Linked DNA regions of Drosophila melanogaster. The protein of the gene in region 3 interacts with the protein of the main gene of each other region in a pairwise test. Each region holds a gene or a part of one and is shown on either strand. Other genes may lie near its edges. The genes, in order: CG6149, Drip, Tsp74F and fan.

Region 1 (3,041 bases), 6.5 Mb from region 3:
CAGAAATGGGCTGTTACCCATCTGCCTTTGCAGCAAACAATGAAAAACTGTGCCTTTCTTCTCTGAGTTTCGGCTGTCCGGAGATCACTTTCGAAATATTGGCACAAGTGGTGTCCTGAAATATTCGAAATCGGAGCCCACATCCTAGCCAAACCGGAACCTCCCGCTGAAAGGATTGAGTAAAACAATGGATCGGTTTTCCAGAATCAGCTGGCAGCTGTAATTTCCGCACGTGACTATCATATAGTTGAATGAGAATATGTTCGAATCCATATGGATTCCGCTTCTTAGCAGCTGGTTTTTCGATGATAAACGCATTTGAAAACCAAAATAATATATTCAGAGCGATTTCCGGTTCCGTTATGTGTGTTGAAAAATTAGATGATTTCGACTTTTATATTGCAATTGATCTTTGTACCGGAAACATGTTTTATTACTTTCGAATTGAATTTTATGGTTTCTACAAAAATGTATATTAGTTTTATTACTGCGCCTTTTGTACGATTTGAATAGTTGCATAGCTTGACTTCCACAGTAGTCATATTTAATTTAATAAGAAGCATATCCTATATACTTTATTTATGTTCCTATCCTTAAACTATCAAATGTGCATTTCAATGGGAATCGATCCATCTGTGGACACCAGTAGATCGCTGCCACAAGACGTTATTAACTCGCTCGCCGAAGAGATAGTAAATGAATCCGAGGACCATGATAAGGACAAAGAAAATTACTCTCAGCTGCCAGGCGATGCCGCCCAGAAAGGGATACACCCAGATGTCGGTCCGGAACCAAACGATATGTATCCACACCAGATATCCCAACATGAAGGCACCCAGTCCAGTGAATCCTCGACTGCGTTTCGGATATTGATGTCGTGTAATACCCAACTCCACAAAGGCATAGATTACGACGAAGGTGTGCATGGTGTGGTTCAGCCAATTGGGATAGACCAGGTCCAAAAGCACCGGATATATCACTTCCCGATCGATGGCGAAGAGTGTCCAAAAGGTGAGACCCACCGTAAGGGCCAGAGGTACGGCAAAGGTGGCGAAGATGTAGTCTCGCAGCTTCCTTAGAGATCTCAATCGGAGGAGGTCAAAGGTCAGCGCCAGTGTATAGTACCCCAACTGCAAAAGGCCGCACAGAAACGTCATGTACTTAAACTTGCCACCAATCGGTGGCTCCAGGCGCAGGGTCACCGCCACTTGTGGCAACTGGGCATACCGACAGTCAAAGTAAATGGCATAGCCCAGGTGAACGGTGGCCGACAGGTGGAAAAACAGGCGAGCCCTGTTCGACAAATTAAGTCGCTCCATTTCCGGATAGATACTAACGCATTTGTCGATGGAGCTATGCTAATGTGGTGCAAATCGATCCGGCATAGGGAAATAGCCTATGACCGAAACGGATTCGCTAGAATAGTGATGCAAAATAAGCTCTAATTTTTACCAAGTTGGGTGAGAAAGTTTAAATAGGTTCCATTGAAACAAATAAATAACAATTTCAACCATGTTTCTAGTTTTGTAATCTACTCAAACAACTATTTGAAGGAAACACATAAATACCGTATCTAAAACTTATAGATAAATGTGAGTTTGGATATACAACGTATCAATTTCATCGTTAGTTTAATTATTGACCCACTGCGGAACCGAAAGGTAAAAGGCGATGAGTATTGACTCAAATGGAAATGGGGAGTTTGCCGTTAAAACTACAGGGGTGCGACCTTGGACACAGCTGATTCGTTTGGTCAGAGGTCCTTCAATTTCAGGACCAGATGTTGCGATGAAAATGAAGAGGAAGGGTCCACCAACCGCAGGCAATCAAATGGATGTGTGTTCCGTAAATATTTGTTTGTTTTCCTTTGTCGGCCGTGCAGATCTCAGTGGATAATTAGTCAGGCCCATCACCACCATATGTCCGACGAAAACCATTCGTAAATAGTTAAATTACCTTTTTGCCAAATTCGATTCAGCCATCTGACGGCGAAAGCGAGAATAGGTAAAACTATTTGTTTAACAGTGACCTGATAATTATTAGTTATATTTAACAAATATTAGTAAATAATTATAAATATACATTATATCTCGGAATACTGAATCAACTAGGAAGCCCAAAATTATATCTTATTAGCAGTGCAAAATAAAAGTAAAAATTTCAAGGACTTTTAGCTGGGTTTTTTTTAGTTTTTTAATAAATCCAGCTCACTTATCGATAAAAACTAGCTCTTAAGTAAGTCGACATCTGTTTGATTAGTAAGTCTTTGCTGTTCGAATTTGAGTCTATTAGTTAAATAGTGGTCTGTTACTATTTATAAATTCAATTTAAGCGTCTGTCCATGGTGATAACCAAATGGATTTAAAAACGAAAGGAGTCGCAAAAACTCAGTGCCGTGACGCAAATTTGGATATTCGAATGCCTGCGAAATATACATATGTATATACTATATAAGAACGATGTGTGCCCATACAATTATGATCCGCACTGCCCAGACTAATTGGAGCAATGTTGTTAATTTTTTAAAACCGTTGTCGGACACGTTTCGCTACGGTCATTGCGACAGAGTTATTTAAATATAGGCAGACATTTCTGGCCGATATTTTCGCACATAAAAACGGGTGTACAATATTTGGCAGTCAAATAAATGTATCAATCCCTTTAGGACCGAATGTTGCAGACTGTTTAGTTAGCACTTGTATGAACTCTGAGTTTGTAGGTGTATTGAGTGTAATTACACTATAAATAATCTATTGAGTTTTATCACTTTGTTTAATATAAGAATAAGAAAACCATGTTTAAATCAACTTAAGTTGGTTAATTAATTTTACAGACACATTTTTATTTTCGTATAAAAAACACACTATATATATTTCAAGGACGTATACATACTCCACATATTCCACTCTAGATTTTAAAGGTTATCAAGCATGTTCTTAGAAACTTTCAAAGGGAATACCTAAAGAAATTGTTAAAGTTCCTTATTTTGTTTCCCCTCACAGTTTCAGTTTCGTACATAATTAATGTTGGATCATCTTTTC
Region 2 (5,014 bases), on a different chromosome or scaffold from region 3:
AACTTAAATGATATCTTAATAATATTTTCAGTATAAGTTCTAAAGAGGGAAATAAACAATTTTGGTAATTTACCCACAACAGCTACGTACTATCTGTAACTAGCATTAACAACAATTATTTCCAATGTCTAATTCTGAGTTTTTACTTTGTGCCTTTCGATGAATTCAAAGTTTTGTTAAATCTATTTTACAAACCTATAGTAGATAATCTGCAACTGCTTAATAACAATTAAAGCGAATCTAATTTGATGATTTCAACTATTCCCATCTAGTTACTAGATAAAATTATACTTTTAATTGGTATCGTTGGGCAAACTCACTTTGGTGAATGAAACTCCAGTTGAAAAGGAGCCAAGATCTATTGGTAATTCGACAGGCATATACCATCTCCACATCGGCGATTATTATCTCGCCCATTTAGCCAGAGTTTGTGCCATTTTAATGCTTAACTGCCATTAAATATAATTACTCATTAAAGCAAAAGAGCCCCGGCATGTACATACATACATACTTCGCTTGAATTCCCCATGCGAAGGCACAAATAAGTCCGTCTGCGATTTGGCTCTTGTTTTCATAATGGGCCAAGACGCTTCCCCACAAACAAAATCGCAGCTCTTGGCGAGCGAGTCTTCTTTTATTTTGGCTTGTCACTTGTTTTGTCAATAACTCGCAACTGTTGCTCTGTTAAGAGATAAAAATAGCCCGCGACGACGACAAGGTAAAAGCCCTTTTCACCAGCAAAGCCCCGCAATCAATATGGCATATTAAAGTTGGTGAAAAGCTGTTTAAAAGTGAAACTGATAACGGCCCAACCGTCCATAACCCATTAGCCGCGTTTTAAGTTGGAAAAGCTGCAATAAGGTGCCATTAAAAGAAAATGAAAACTGTTCCGGCATTGGAATGGTTGAGTGGGTGGGTGGTAGGTCTAGTACAACCGTTTGGTGGGTGGTTCAAACAGTCACGTGCAGCGTTTGTGGATTATCAAAAGTCAAAAACCCCCTGTAATGATAACATCTTAGCTATGCGATAATTGAGTCTGAGGTTCGGCATGACCAGCGCAATTAGATTAATCAAAAATGTGTTTATGGCTCCTTGAGTGTCCATATATCAAGTGAACAAAATGGCAGGCGAATAATAGTTCTTAGGCTGTGTGCAAAAACCCAAAATGGCTGTGAACTTTCCCCATGGTCAATAACAATTCGATTATGAACTTGGCCATCTGTCGGCTAATTGCAATTCATTGGTTTTTAATTGGCACCATATAAGCAATGCTATATTTTGGGAGCTTTTATGTGATTATCACATCACATTTACCAAAGACTAAGCAAGACAACCATTTTCTATTGTATATATATCTTATACATGGATATATGTACATATGTGCCTATCTTATCTATATTATATCTATGTGATTCGTCTAAAGACTAAGGCCCTTGAGTGGCTTTTTCGGATATGAAACAGTTGATTTAAACCGATGTTATGCCAATTGGTTATAGAATAACTTTGGGGGAGAGTCCATATATCATCAGTAACGGTTAGCAGCTGATAAGACCATGACTGGAAAATGTTTCGTGTTATGGGGTAGACTCGAATGGGGTATTACTCATACTCATACGTTTTGTTTTAAAAAACAATTACGCCACAAGTTATACTGACTAATTTCACTCAGAACTAACTGAGAGCTACTTTCGAAGGGCAAAGTAGGGATTTATTGTAGTATTTGGCAAGCAACTCACTTTGGCCAAAACAGAGCCATCAAAAGCCACAAGAGTCATTACAAATGTTTTCGCGCCCCCATTCGATTAAGTCATCCGGGGTAGGTGTATTCCGAGCTTAGATCCTTTGAGGCGTCCAAGTGGATACATGCGGAGCTCCGCGGTGGCCAAGCCCCAAAACTAAAAAATCTGAATGGGGCAGTGACGGCGACGCGACTGCGACGCCGACCGCGACGACGACCGCGGCAGAGAGTATATCAGTTACAGTCGCAGCGTTGGCAACGCTTATTTGCGCTCGAGCAGCGAACGTGGTAGCACAGCTTTAAGCACTACAGCACTACAGTACAAACTGCGAGAAAGAAAAGCGGCAGTTTCGAAAATCCGAAAAGGAAATCGAGTTCGGAGCGGTTAGTTTAATTGGCGATAATAATAAACTAATAATAAAATCGAGTTATTGCACGTTGCGCTTTCCAATTTCGAAAAGGAAATCTGAAAATATTGTAGCCCAGTGAAGAAAATAAGTCAATCGGGTGAAATTAAATTGATAACAACACCGCTTTCCGCCCCATATTCGACTCCGTGTGGTCAAGTGGCAGACAATTGTGCAACCTCAAGACTCTTAACCTTAACAATTATATTTCGGCCACAAAAAACTATTGGCACAATTCAGTTCGATTCGAGTGCGCGCTAACTCACTTTTACCCGCAGCAAAAAGCAATAAGGCAAAAAGCACGCTTTGAAAACGAAAGCAAAGCACAAGTTCGCTTCGAAACCCCCCACGCTTGCCAAAAATCTCAAGTGGCAGCCCCCAGAAGACAGTAGATCGTAGCCAGAAGACCGAAGACAGAAGACAGCAAAATGGTCGAGAAAACAGGTGAGTGATTGGCGATTGGAGGCTGGAGAATGCGAAATATGCGTGTGCGTGTGTGCGAAGGTTAATTGCGAGCAAAATTTGGGGGCGAGAGTGCGGCAAATTGTTATGGTTTTGTGCGAAAGTTAATCCCACTCTTTTGGGGCTTTCAACTTTTGCTTGAATAATATCACAAACCAATGAGAGTGTATAATTTCCAAAACTATTGATCGAAATCGTTTGCAATTTGCTATTGCCAGTGTATCAATCCTTATGTTTTTTTACATTAAAATAAAACGATCAAAAGTAAACCATAAAATTTGTAATGAATACAGTTTTAACAAATCTACTTTTGATTTAATAAAGCACCCAGTTTGTTTATTGCAAAATAGGCCCCTCTTTGGATTTCACTTTCAAAGCAAACAAATAGTAACCCAAAATTTGCCTTAAATTAATCATTCCTTCACAATTAATCAACTTTAATAAGCCATCGAAAGATGTTTTGATAAATCATCTTTTTCTTTTTTTTCTTTCTTTGTTTTGGGTGGTTGGGCGAATCAAAGAGTAGCCCGCCTGTCGATAACGATAACGAGATGATTGGTTTTCAATAATTTCTCTGACACAGCATGACAAAGACAGCAAATTAGCCCCGAGTTATTTTTTTTTTTATAGTTAGACGTAGTTTTTTGTTGCTTTGATTTAGCTTCCGTGGCGATTGATGATGATTTCTGTAACTGAAAGTTTGCATGACAGAAAAGCCTGGAAAGAAAAAAAAAAGATAGATAGGAGAAAACTTAGCTAGGTAAACAACAGCGGAAACTCCGGCCGAGGCAATTTATGCGATGATGATGTTGATGGCTCCCCAACGAAAGCAATAAAACCACACCGAACCGAGTCAAGTCAGTCAAGTGAATGAACTGGAGGAAAACACCCTAAGAGCCAAATAAGTAGGAACTTTTATTTGTGCGATCTGAACAGTCAAATTAATTAAAAACCTAATTGCATTCCTCTGGTTGCTTCGCAGAATTAAAGCCAACCTCTGGCGTCATTTTCGCCGCCTGTTCCGCCGATATCGTTGTGATAATGACCATAATATTTACCCGGCACTGAATACTCATTTGCCAAGCCAAGAATTCTCGGTTCCAGCTAATTAATGTCAACGCCTGAGCATCTATTTGATCAAGTGTTTAAACACAGGGCTCAATATTTGATTTAGATATTAAATATGTTCACTTAACGTGGCTGCTTAATGCTCGGGTGGAATTTTGAGACCAGTAAGCGTTTAAAAATAGTCGAGTGAGGTGCGTGAGAAATTCGCAGCCCTTTGGCGCTGAAATTCTGCAAATTATAGTACAAACGTGTGGCTAATTTGATATCCCTCTTTCGCTTAATGTCTTCTCCGCCTCATAATTCAATGCGTTGTCATCTTGGACCAACATCACTTTATACATATATATATATATATATATATGTGTAGACAGACTTCCACCTGACGTTAGTAGCTGCTGTTTTTGTGGCGACGGATTCGCAGATATAACAAAATTACAGTAATAATCGTGCGCGGAGTTGACATGACATCACGGTGAAATTGGCATTCAAAACAGTAGCAAACTTAAGGCCAGGAAATGGTTTTTGGTATGACTGGAGAACATTTAGACATTTAACACAGTTAGTGCACATCCCCATTTACTTAATTCCATCCAACCGAGCTCCGTTCTCAATGGAAGATCAACTTGTTTGTTAATCGGATAGCTTATAATTAAGATAATAAGCTGCCATTGAGATGCACAGAAGCGAAGATGTTCGGTTCCCATGGAAAGTTTTTGATTCACGTAACGTTCAATTAAGTTTACGGAAAATAATTGGAATGTTCATATATCTATTGATTTGATGTAGAAGTGACTGTGTGCCATACCGAAAATTTAGTCCGCTTTGGTGTACAAATTGCATATTTTGCAAATTTAAAAAAACAATCCGAAAGAAATACAACTTTGTTGCCTTTTAAAATGCCATCCATTATGTGCCTGAAAAACAGCCTTTCAGTCTCCCAATTTTCCCTATCGTGTCGTCTCAAATTATCGCCATTAATTGACAAACTTCCAAAGTTAGTCATAAACCACAAACCCCAATAAATTGCCTTTGATTTATGGTGCATTGTAAACGAGTTAAGCGACATAAATTCGTTTGGAGCAAAAGCCCATAAAGATTATAAGTGAGTTTGAACGTACTCCTCCCGCACAGCAAACGAGCAAACGAAAACTGAATAGTCCCCTGCCCATCTGACTAATTAATTTATAACGATTTTAATAGCCAGCGAACAGGTTTCGATCTTTCCCGCGACTGTTATTAATAAAATCATCACCTTGCCGAACAAAAGTGCCCAAGAGTTGCGCAAAGCCGAAATTAATAATCCGATTAAATTGATTAATTGTTGTAGACGAAAAATGGA
Region 3 (6,558 bases):
TTATGGCTTGCGATGGGTAGTATTATAGGCTTAGTATACAGAAATCTGTTGTAGCTGTAAGTTCTTAGTAGAATAATTTTTAATAAAAGTTAATTAAAGAAAATACTTTTTTATTCAAATCTTTAAAGTCGCTTGAGTGCGAACTTATTTTCAGTTAAATAACATAAAAGTTGTTATATTATCTGATGATAATTCACTTTGTAAACACCTTCAGGTCACAGCGTGATCCATACTTTCCCTATTTTCCCGCTTCAAAAATGTGACTTAAGACAAAAAAAACCTAAAAATATGCAACAATATTGCATGTAGATTAAAGCTTCGATCAAAAACAGTTTAATACTTTAAACCGTTTTTTAAATACAAATTTTTACGTAACATGGACATATTTCATGGACCAGATCATTTTAAATATTTATCCTTTTTCGTTTTTTTTTTATACTCATATCACAACATATCGTTTAATGATAATTGGATTAAAAATAAAAAATATTAATATATATAAACATTTCCGAAGTATTTGGTTTTAACTAATTTTTATTGAAAACAACAATGGACAGACATCTAAATTCTCTATTAAGTATTGAAAAGCTCACTTAAAACTAGCAATTGTAATGGGTTGTTGATAACGGTGGCTTAAGAGGAAATTTACAAAACTTCACACAAATAATACAAATTTATGCAACAGATAATAACAATAGAATCCCTACTAAGTTCAATACTCACTAGTTATGCGTATCTAAACACGTATATACATACAATACAATACATAATACAAGCGGACAGTTGATCTGTGCAGATCTAACATTAGCATACACTCAGATAATACTCTTAATTTAACTCCAGCGAATTATGTTTAAAAATGTGTTTCTTCTGGACTGTGGACCTTGGTATCTGATTTTCCTGCGTGACCATGGGATTCCCCTCCTCGTTGGCGCTATTCGATCATATTGAATAGTAGACAGGAGAATATCATGCCAAAGATCTAAAAATAAACCAAATTCCAATTAATTATATATTATATAATAATTTTGCTACCGAAGAAAGGCGTTCACTTACCATCAGTATGGCCACCGCTATGGATGTACCTCCAATAACCGCCGCGTGATCCCTGATGAAGTTGGTCGTCACATAGAGGCATCCCTGGTTGTACAGATTCGTAATGGTCGGGAAGATTGTGCACTCCTTACGCTGTCCACCGAAAAGCTCCTGGCAACAGGACTCAGGCACTGGTCCGTACCTATTCCAGTCGTGCCACGTATCCACTCCGCAGCACTGTAGTCGCTCCTGGGTCAAATCCCAGGCCTGGGTGATCTCCCTCCTGCTTCCGTATAGTGCCATCGTGGAACGCATTTCCTATGGGATATTGGTAAGGGTTAATGTGCCACCCACGTGTTGTTATCGATGGATTTGCCTCACCTGCCGCATGGTCTGCTGAACTCGTTCGCGGAACACGTAACCCAAGACACCGCCAATTAGCATGGTCACGAAAACTAGGGCCACTATTATGAAATACTGCAAAGGGAAAACGAGTGGTTAATTTTTTAGCTAAATGGTGTTTGCATAATAGTAAAGAAGAGACTGACAACATTTAGAAGATTAAATCAAATAGATCATTTCTTTAGATGGTATCTTTGTAAATATGCAAATCCAGATATGATTACTCCAAAAAGGACAAAGTTAATTATTTAATAAAATGAAATTTTTGTTTTTATTGTTTGTTGTTTACTTACTGTTAGGAGGAGGCATTTGACTTCTTTTCCGGCACCAACACAACCCAAAAAGGACACCAGACAAATGATAATCGATGTAACCAGCAGGACGTAGACAGCACCCGAGAAAAGATTTGTACCGAGCAACTCATTGACGAAACTCCGATCCACCAGAGTCCACAGGGTGAGACAAAACACAATCGCTCCACCCACCTGGAAAATACATATATTTTGGTATTATTTATTTCTCTTAAATTGTTTTTTAATTCAAGCGACTCCTGGATACTCACGAATATCACAAAGTTGGCTATGAAAAGACTGTACTTGACGAACTGCCCGCAGCAGTCCATTCGCGAACTGAAGCCCATATCGTCTTCCTTTGAAAGGATAATACATTTCAATTAACCAATTCAATGGGATAAAAAGATTTCACATTGTTTACTTTTGTCTACAGGTGAAGAGCCCCCAGAGGATATTGATGCGAGGAGAATTATGCAGGGAATTTGGGGTAGGATGAGATGCAGAGGTTCTTGATGGCGATACAACTCTATAATCCAAAGACAGATAAAAATAATTTCACACTATGCTTTAATTAAGTTAAAGTTCTTAGAGATCATTCAATTTCAACAGGTCCTTAGCGATAACCAAGTTAATCATAACTCATCATCCCGATTTCAAATTAGCTATTTTTGGCCTACTCTCTATTGCAATGTGATGTAATCTCAAGAATGTACTTTTTAACGAGTTTCTTTCGCGTAAGATTCACTCCAACATATGGGCTGCCTATCAATGGTGTTCGGCTTGGCGAGTGGTGCGCATGCGCATGCGCATGCGCAGCTGTGGTTTCGGCCGAACGTTTCGCTCTTTCTAAGCCGGGTCCGAACCGCGAAGCGACCGAAGTACACTTAACCATGACCCACTTTATGGAACTGCGACTGAGCAGCGAAGCTGCCAACGCTATGTGCCTAGACAAGCGTTCATTATCGGCGGTGGCTGCCAACGTCTTGTGGATTTTGTCAGTTACGGCTCTAAAGACTCGCGTTTTTTTTTTTTTTTTTGGTTACTTACATCGCATTAGGCCCACTTGAAGGGTTCGCTGCGCGGCGATTCCGAGACGAATTCCCCCCGTTGAAGTTGGAGCGATCAAAACAAATAAATCAAAGTAATAGCCTGCCCGAAAATTTGTCAGCTAATTGTAGTGGTTTAACTACGAGTGCCGTCCCAGCTCTGAATCATCTTGGCGCAGTGCGATGTTCTAAATGCTAATTAAAAGTAATTGCAGGCTGAGCAGTCGGGTACCCCTTCACCCCACTAGCTGGTAAACGACATCTCATTTCGAGCATTATTCTCCAAATTCAAATATGTTAAGCCGCAGTCGAGTTCGCCAGGTAATTGGCGGGGCTATTAAAAAAATGTTCTCACACTATCTGAATATTCACTATATTTCATTCGACGTTATCATGTTAAGCGAATCCGAATCGTGCCTGAGATGACAGTAAGTCATCCGAAAGTCGCCATTAATGATGACGGGGCGTTGGCGGCGGGGCGAATCACTATATCTGCCGCTTGTAAGCTGAGACCAATTAAGTTTATGGTAATTGTTCAGCTGTACGTGCTACACATGGTAATAGATCACTTAAAGCTCGGATTCCAAGTCCTGTCACTCATGAAAAACTTAGAAAATCAGACTTTTTAAGTACTATCTACTAAACTCTGAGCTCACTCTTTTATGCTCCTTTCATACCCTGTTATCTATCTGTAATCATAGGAATAATAGCTTTACTAGGTCATTTATGTTTAAAACTCGTATGTAATCTTTATTTGTAGGTGATGTTAGCTTAAAAGTTAGTGAGCAGAATCGGTCGAGGCTATAAATATGAAATATGTACTCCTTGTTTATACTCGAAGCTTGAAAATATAGCAGTGAAAATAGGAAAGTGGTCGCATTTGAAGGACCTCTGTATGAAATTTATGATTAATTAAAACAAATGAAATATTATCTAATAAGCAAATTCACTTACAAGTTTGCCGTCCCGTAGCACAAACGAAGTTTTCGTTAGGTAACCAATTTTGGCGGTTTTCTTTCTCAGCTTTGTGTATGTAAATTGCCTTCAATTTGTTGTTTTGCAAAAACACAAAGCAAAACAAAAGAAACGGCTACTATTTTTAGTTGCACTTGAATGCACAGAAACTTTGGGAGTGGCTATAAAAAAAGAAGGAAATTATTTTAACCCTTTCAATTAACATTTTTGTGGTAAGAAGTAGAAGAGTTTTTAATTTCACTTTTATTTATAAACAACTTTTTGATGAAGACGCATTCATTCATTTTTTCGGTCGATTTTATTAACTTGTTTAAATTTTTGGTTCATTCTTCATTCAGATCACTTCATTCAGATCAAAAGAGATCGCAAAGTTTACATACGCATATAGCAATTTATGCAATATTCGTTAATATTTGCTCTCGAATTTTTATGAAACTTTTTTAATACAGGTTTCTTGCATTTGTTTTAAGCGTCACTCGCAGTTGATAATTGTTATTGAGTTTTTATTCGATTGCTGTTGCTGTTATTGTCAATTGCAGTTCTCCCATGGCAAACAACTTTTTTTTTGCCGCCTTGCTTTTAACATTTGCTTTTCAAGTTACGTCACGCTTGCCAAGGCAGCATTATCCTTAGCGGAGTTATCACTGTACTGTCGGGATATTTCGTGGGGATAAAACTATACGATTCACTTGATGGACCTAAGTCTCGCCTTACAGGGATTGAGTGGATCCGGGGAGCTATGATACTATGGTTTTATATGTGGGACAGGGACGACTCTACCGCCCGAGAGCTCGCTTGGAACTGGTTGTGGGAACAGTCGGGGCGATCGGTTTTTTATTAGTTTCGCTCACAAAGAGCTTCGTTGTTGGGCTTTTTCTGGTCTCGGTCTCTCGACATTACAACAACTTCGACTTGAGCCCCTGTTTTCGAAGGCTTAGCACTGCAGGTGCGAGAGAGATGGGAGTCTCTACTCGCTTACAAACCGCAAATACTTCTCTGAATGTTTTCGTGCTTCTCTCTTATTTATTCATCTATTTTTCGGCTTCTTTTACCCACACTTCCCTTTGCGGAGTCGGCATGTGAAAATGCGTTGAGCAAACAAAATATGATCCGTCGTCCACAGCCAGCACCTTTGTTTCATTTCGGGCAATTGCAAAATATAAATATTGATAAGCAAACGAAATTTGATATTTGTTTTAGTTCTCGGTCTGCACATGGCAATGTCCGCATAATTGATTTTGGAGGCAAATCTATCCGAATTGGTTACCGTTTTGTTATAACAGTTTAAGTTTAAATACTTTTTGAACAAGGATTATTTGTAATGATTGTTTTCTTTCTTCAGTTGGATCATTTGCATCTATTTGCAACCATATTTATATTCAATATACGAGTGTTGATCAGACAACTTGATAAAGCCAAGTTTGTCAGTCCGTTCCTTTCTTACGCATTCTAGAATCATAGTTTTAAAGCTTGGAACTTTTCTAAAAATCTTCTTTTTATTGCTCGTAGTATGTGAATTTGTCTTCTGTATCATGTATGTATAAATATCGAAATTTAATTGAAAATATTAGAAAAGAAATCAAACATTGGCGAGGCTATCTTTCTTTCTTGATTTCAAGGGCTTAGTGTTCCAAGAGAGCACAAGGAAAATATGCTTATTATCCGTGTTTCATGTTACTTTTGCTGGTCGAACTCAATTGCTGTGCCGAAGGACAACCTTTGGCAATTAACAGCTTAATTTTCTTGTTAGTCGAACAAATAGTTTTGGCTGAGTTGAGTAATTTTTTAAGCAGTTTCCAAGCTAAGGTCAGAAAGTTGGCTGCCGATAGACGAATAGCTCACCCTCCCTACTTACACTCCACAGCACGGTTGAAAAGCGCTCAAATTGTTGGCTTGTTTAGCACTTTTATGGCCGTGTTAACAACAACCACCCGCCATGTCCCCGTAATCACCGACCAATGTGTTAGTTGCATGGCGAAAATAAAAATAAATCATAAAAAAAAGAAAAACAATTACTCTGCCTGTTGATTTTGCATCTTATAAACTCGCTGTGGGAACCTTTTGCGTTTTATAGATGCCATAAAATCCATTTCCACACACTCGTCCCACAGGCGCCTCATGATAAAATATTGCTCAGAAATCGAAGTTTGCGACTAGTGCTCAGTTATTCTTGCTCAAGTGGCCAAGAATCATTAATATTATGGGGAATTCTTAATTTTAAGCCAGTCAATTTCGCCTATGAACCTATACTTACTGAGATCCGATTAGTGTGAGCGAGTTGAAAGCCTCGTTGAGCTCGGCGAAGGTGACAAGCGTCAGAAGCGTTAAATTGTGGCACTTTAACTGATTGGAATGAGTCAAAAATTGGGAAGGCAAGCAAATGACTACTGGTAGTGGAAGATATAATTAAAATGTTAACCGAACTGCGCATACAACCGAGTTAACACAGCAACATGCATCATACATTATCAGATGCAAACTAAAGTGAAACATTGAAAAAACAACAAATGCAACATTTTTGATTCTCACATGACTTATCATAGCTGCTATAACTCTACTTACGCCTTCGCCACTTACTGATCTTCGTATAAAAGCTATCTCAATCAATCAAAAATTTGCATATTGCATTAATAAATTAATGAATCTATGGGAATGTGTAGTGCTCGTGAATAATGCATTGCGAAAGTTGAAAGGTTATCAATAGTTAATTATATAGAATTTACTTTAGCTTAGAGGAGTATAAAGGAACTTTTTTACACAAAATTCTATATATAAATAAACAACATTTTCACGCAAAGTGACCTTCC
Region 4 (3,336 bases), 9.8 Mb from region 3:
CCATCTAAAAAGAATCTCATCCAATCACGCATTCATCCACCCCCTGGGGACCCTTACAACCTTTCTACCTCCACTCGCTGACTCTACTTCTCTTTCTCTGGTGTTGGTACTCGTTCGCTATTTTTACTCGCCACTCGTTGACTCGTTTCGCTAAGCATCCACTAAAACTCGCCTGCGTTGCCCAAAAAATATATACGAACGCCCCTCCCCCGCCAATTTCTATATCTTCAAACTCTATTTGCCTTGTGATTAGTTGTTGATTTTGATAATTATTTTTTTATTGAAAAATAAGTAAGCGAATTTAAATTGCGAAAACTAATTTATGAAAAGAAAAATACAATTAACGACTGCATAAATACGAAACCTAATTTATAGAACACAAAACAGAAACCATCTAATTCTAAACACTACAAGAAACAAAAATATATTGGAGAGCGAAAACACTCTATATTTAAAATGCTATTTATAAATAATATGTTTAAAAATTTGTACATTTTTCGCGAATGCAACATGTTCTTGTAACCGTCCGCAAAACGTAAACTAAAAATTGCAAAATTTAAAATTAACCCGTGTGGCTTAAAACGAAAATATTTACATAAGTGATATTTAAACTACGTATAATCGAAATTTACTTAATGCAAAATTTTTACAACAAAACATGCTGTACAAACCTAATTTTTAGCGCAGGAGTTTTTAAGGCATATTTTTATTGATTTTTGCAATATATATTTAATATTTAAATAGTGCCTAAAGTTAAATACGAAAGCCGAAAAAATCGAAATACATACAAAAAAAAAAGGAAATAAAATGTGACTTAATTCAAACTAAATGTGTATTATTGGCCCTATTTAGCCCTGTTCCCCTGCTTAATCAGTCCATACTATATCATCAATCGCATGTACCGATATTATACGTTTTGTTCAATGTTTGTATTGCGTTCTGCATTTGAATTTGTGTTTGTGCCTTTAATGGAATTCGAAATGTTTTATTTGTATATATCTTATCACTTTTATTTCTTCCCTCTTTCTTTCTCTATATCCGGACTTTTTTGTAGACCATAAAAGCGAAATTGGCTACCGCAATCCGTTGTAACTGTTGTTATCGTTGTGCCTGTTGTACTGCCCCCGCCCACAAAAGCACCCACCCACCAAATCGAATCGATTTCGATTTCGAAAAACCCATCATCGCACACCGTGAGATTAATACGATGCCTACACTCAGCATCCGCCGTCTCGACAACCAACATTCATTGTTATTTATTACCAAGCAAGCAACAAAAAAAAGAAAGAAAGCAATCAAAGCAAATAGCGATACCAATAAACGTGTATATAATTGCATAAATCGAAAGAGTCCTGTCAAACATTTTTTAATTTGTATCTTACCCATACCTCCTCCCACTCGAAACAGCAACGAAATGGAGGACGAGGAACTTTCGGGCATCATTCTGTCCAAGGCCACCTCCCCCAATGCCGGGCGCATGATATTTTGGTAAATGATGGACCATCCCCCACCTGACACACATTCAGTCACACAAACGTATCGAATTTTTGTAAATATTTAATAAAACAAAAAACAAATAAAACGAACGATCTGAAACTCGAAATCATGTTGTTATCTAAACATCTTGAACTTACAAATACAAAAAACTACAATTTGCAAAAGTTCTAAAAAGTTTTTGAACATTATTTAAAGACAGGTTTGTATATAATTTATGAAATTAGCCTAAAATATAGCTTTTAAGACATTCCTTTAAGCAACATAAGCTAATAGCTGCAATCTATAATAGTGATGCTGCGCATATGACTTTCAAAACCGACCAGTGTGTCCACACCAGAAAAGTTGAATTCATACGAAATCAAGCAATATGTGAACTCAATTCAGCCCTGAAATGGAAAGTTTCACATTCCTTTTTCTGTCATTTGCACTACGGCATTGTCAGGGAACGTGTTCATTTGGTACCACATTTTTTCATATATTGGTCATAATCGGTTCCAGTTCATATCGCTTCCGATTTTTTGAAAAATAAAAAGGTACAAATATTCCAATATGTCCGACAATACCGAGAGCAAACTTGCGCTAGACCCGTGCGATGTGATCGTCTTTGAGGGACCATTCAACCGCTCGGTGAGCAGGAAGCTAGTCATCAAGAACACCAGTAAGACCCAGCGAATGGCCTTCAAGATGAAGACCACCACTCCAAAACTTTTTTATGTACGCCCCAACATCGGTGTCTTGGGGCCCGAGCAGAAGGTCAGCGTTGACATATTCATGCAGCCAATTCTGCAGGAGCAGATAAAGAAGCGTCATAAGTTCCTTCTCCTGGCCGCCGAGGTGACTGGTGACATAAGCGATGTGCAGGAGTTTTGGAAGATGCAGAACCCGAATGAAACTCGGGAAACCAAGATCAAATGTGAGCTAGTCCCTTCGAAGGAGGACGATTTCCGTCAGGCGGGAGGTTCAGCTGTAATATCCACGGACAACAAGGACGGAGAGGTCCATTTTGATGCCCAGGAAGTCAGTGAGCCAATGGCCAAGTTGCTCAAGCAAGTCAGCATGCTGGAGGACGAGCATATGGCCCTCACAGACCAGATCGACGGCTTGCGTGACCAGGCGATTGGGCGCACTTTCTTCTACATGGCCGCCATAGTAATCATTATACTGTCCGCTGTCGCAGGCGCCTATTATGGCAAGACTCGTTTGTAAATTCCTTATCATGGCAGTTTTTAGAACATAAGGCAGTAAATTGCACCGAAATTGTACGAAAATTATTTGTCAATAAAGGACATTTTGGTTGCATATTCTATTTTGAGATAGATAATTAGTTTATGCTTGTATACCAATAAATGCGTAAGATGTTATATTCTCACTTTACTAGAAGTAAATAAGTTTAAAATAGGAAATGTCGAATAAAAATAAATTTTTTCAAAACAATTTAAAATGCTTTTTCCTATTTCACTTTATGAAGAGACAAAAAGTAAACTTATTAAAATTTCTGTGAATAACACGTCAAGTTTGATCCAACTTCTACAGGCAAGGCGTATAGGTGTATAGCACTTGCTAAAATTTAGAACTTCTTTTTCAATTCCCGCCAAGACGGGACCACCTGTCTAGGCCAGTGCTGTGAAGCGCGCGTGGCCACAGAGCTCGGCAACCCTGCAGCCGTGCGAAAGCGAATGTGGTGAAGAAAAAAAAAACAGCGAAATACACACGTATTTTGCGACGAAATTAAATAGAATTCCTGCTAAGGGGTATAAGGACACTTGAAGGATGTCTGCGCGAATGCTGAAGAAGCTGCAGGGCGACGCTGACAAGCTGGCGCCACCGCCCGATGACGAG

What was found.
Region 1: the proteins of Tsp74F (region 3) and CG6149 interact in a two-hybrid assay, tested with the Drosophila melanogaster proteins (one large-scale study listed by BioGRID).
Region 2: the proteins of Tsp74F (region 3) and Drip interact in a two-hybrid assay, tested with the Drosophila melanogaster proteins (one large-scale study listed by BioGRID).
Region 4: the proteins of Tsp74F (region 3) and fan interact in a two-hybrid assay, tested with the Drosophila melanogaster proteins (one large-scale study listed by BioGRID).

What each region holds. Positions count from the first base shown.
Region 1 is NT_037436.4:11,434,143-11,437,183, forward strand, and holds CG6149 (uncharacterized protein), read right to left. Parts: upstream 1,335-3,041; 5' UTR 1,320-1,334; coding exon 615-1,319; 3' UTR 553-614; downstream 1-552.
Region 2 is NT_033778.4:11,426,628-11,431,641, reverse strand, and holds the start of Drip (drip), read left to right. Parts: upstream 1-1,996; 5' UTR 1,997-2,573; coding exon 2,574-2,589; intron 2,590-3,838; exon of another isoform or gene 3,839-4,190; coding exon of another isoform or gene 4,191-4,200; intron 4,201-5,014. UniProt on the Drosophila melanogaster protein: Forms a water-specific channel.
Region 3 is NT_037436.4:17,891,301-17,897,858, forward strand, and holds Tsp74F (tetraspanin 74F), read right to left. Parts: upstream 4,563-6,558; 5' UTR 4,466-4,562; intron 3,913-4,465; 5' UTR 3,731-3,912; intron 2,257-3,730; exon of another isoform or gene 2,152-2,256; intron 2,087-2,151; 5' UTR 2,078-2,086; coding exon 2,000-2,077; intron 1,923-1,999; coding exon 1,731-1,922; intron 1,513-1,730; coding exon 1,417-1,512; intron 1,354-1,416; coding exon 1,057-1,353; intron 983-1,056; coding exon 935-982; 3' UTR 520-934; downstream 1-519. Other genes in the region: CG7402 (uncharacterized protein), read left to right, coding at 1-54.
Region 4 is NT_037436.4:8,107,232-8,110,567, forward strand, and holds fan (farinelli), read left to right. Parts: upstream 1-1,900; 5' UTR 1,901-2,046; coding exon 2,047-2,703; 3' UTR 2,704-2,812; downstream 2,813-3,336. Other genes in the region: Sarm (sterile alpha and armadillo motif), read left to right, coding at 1,408-1,492; Nulp1 (nuclear localized protein 1), read left to right, coding at 3,268-3,336.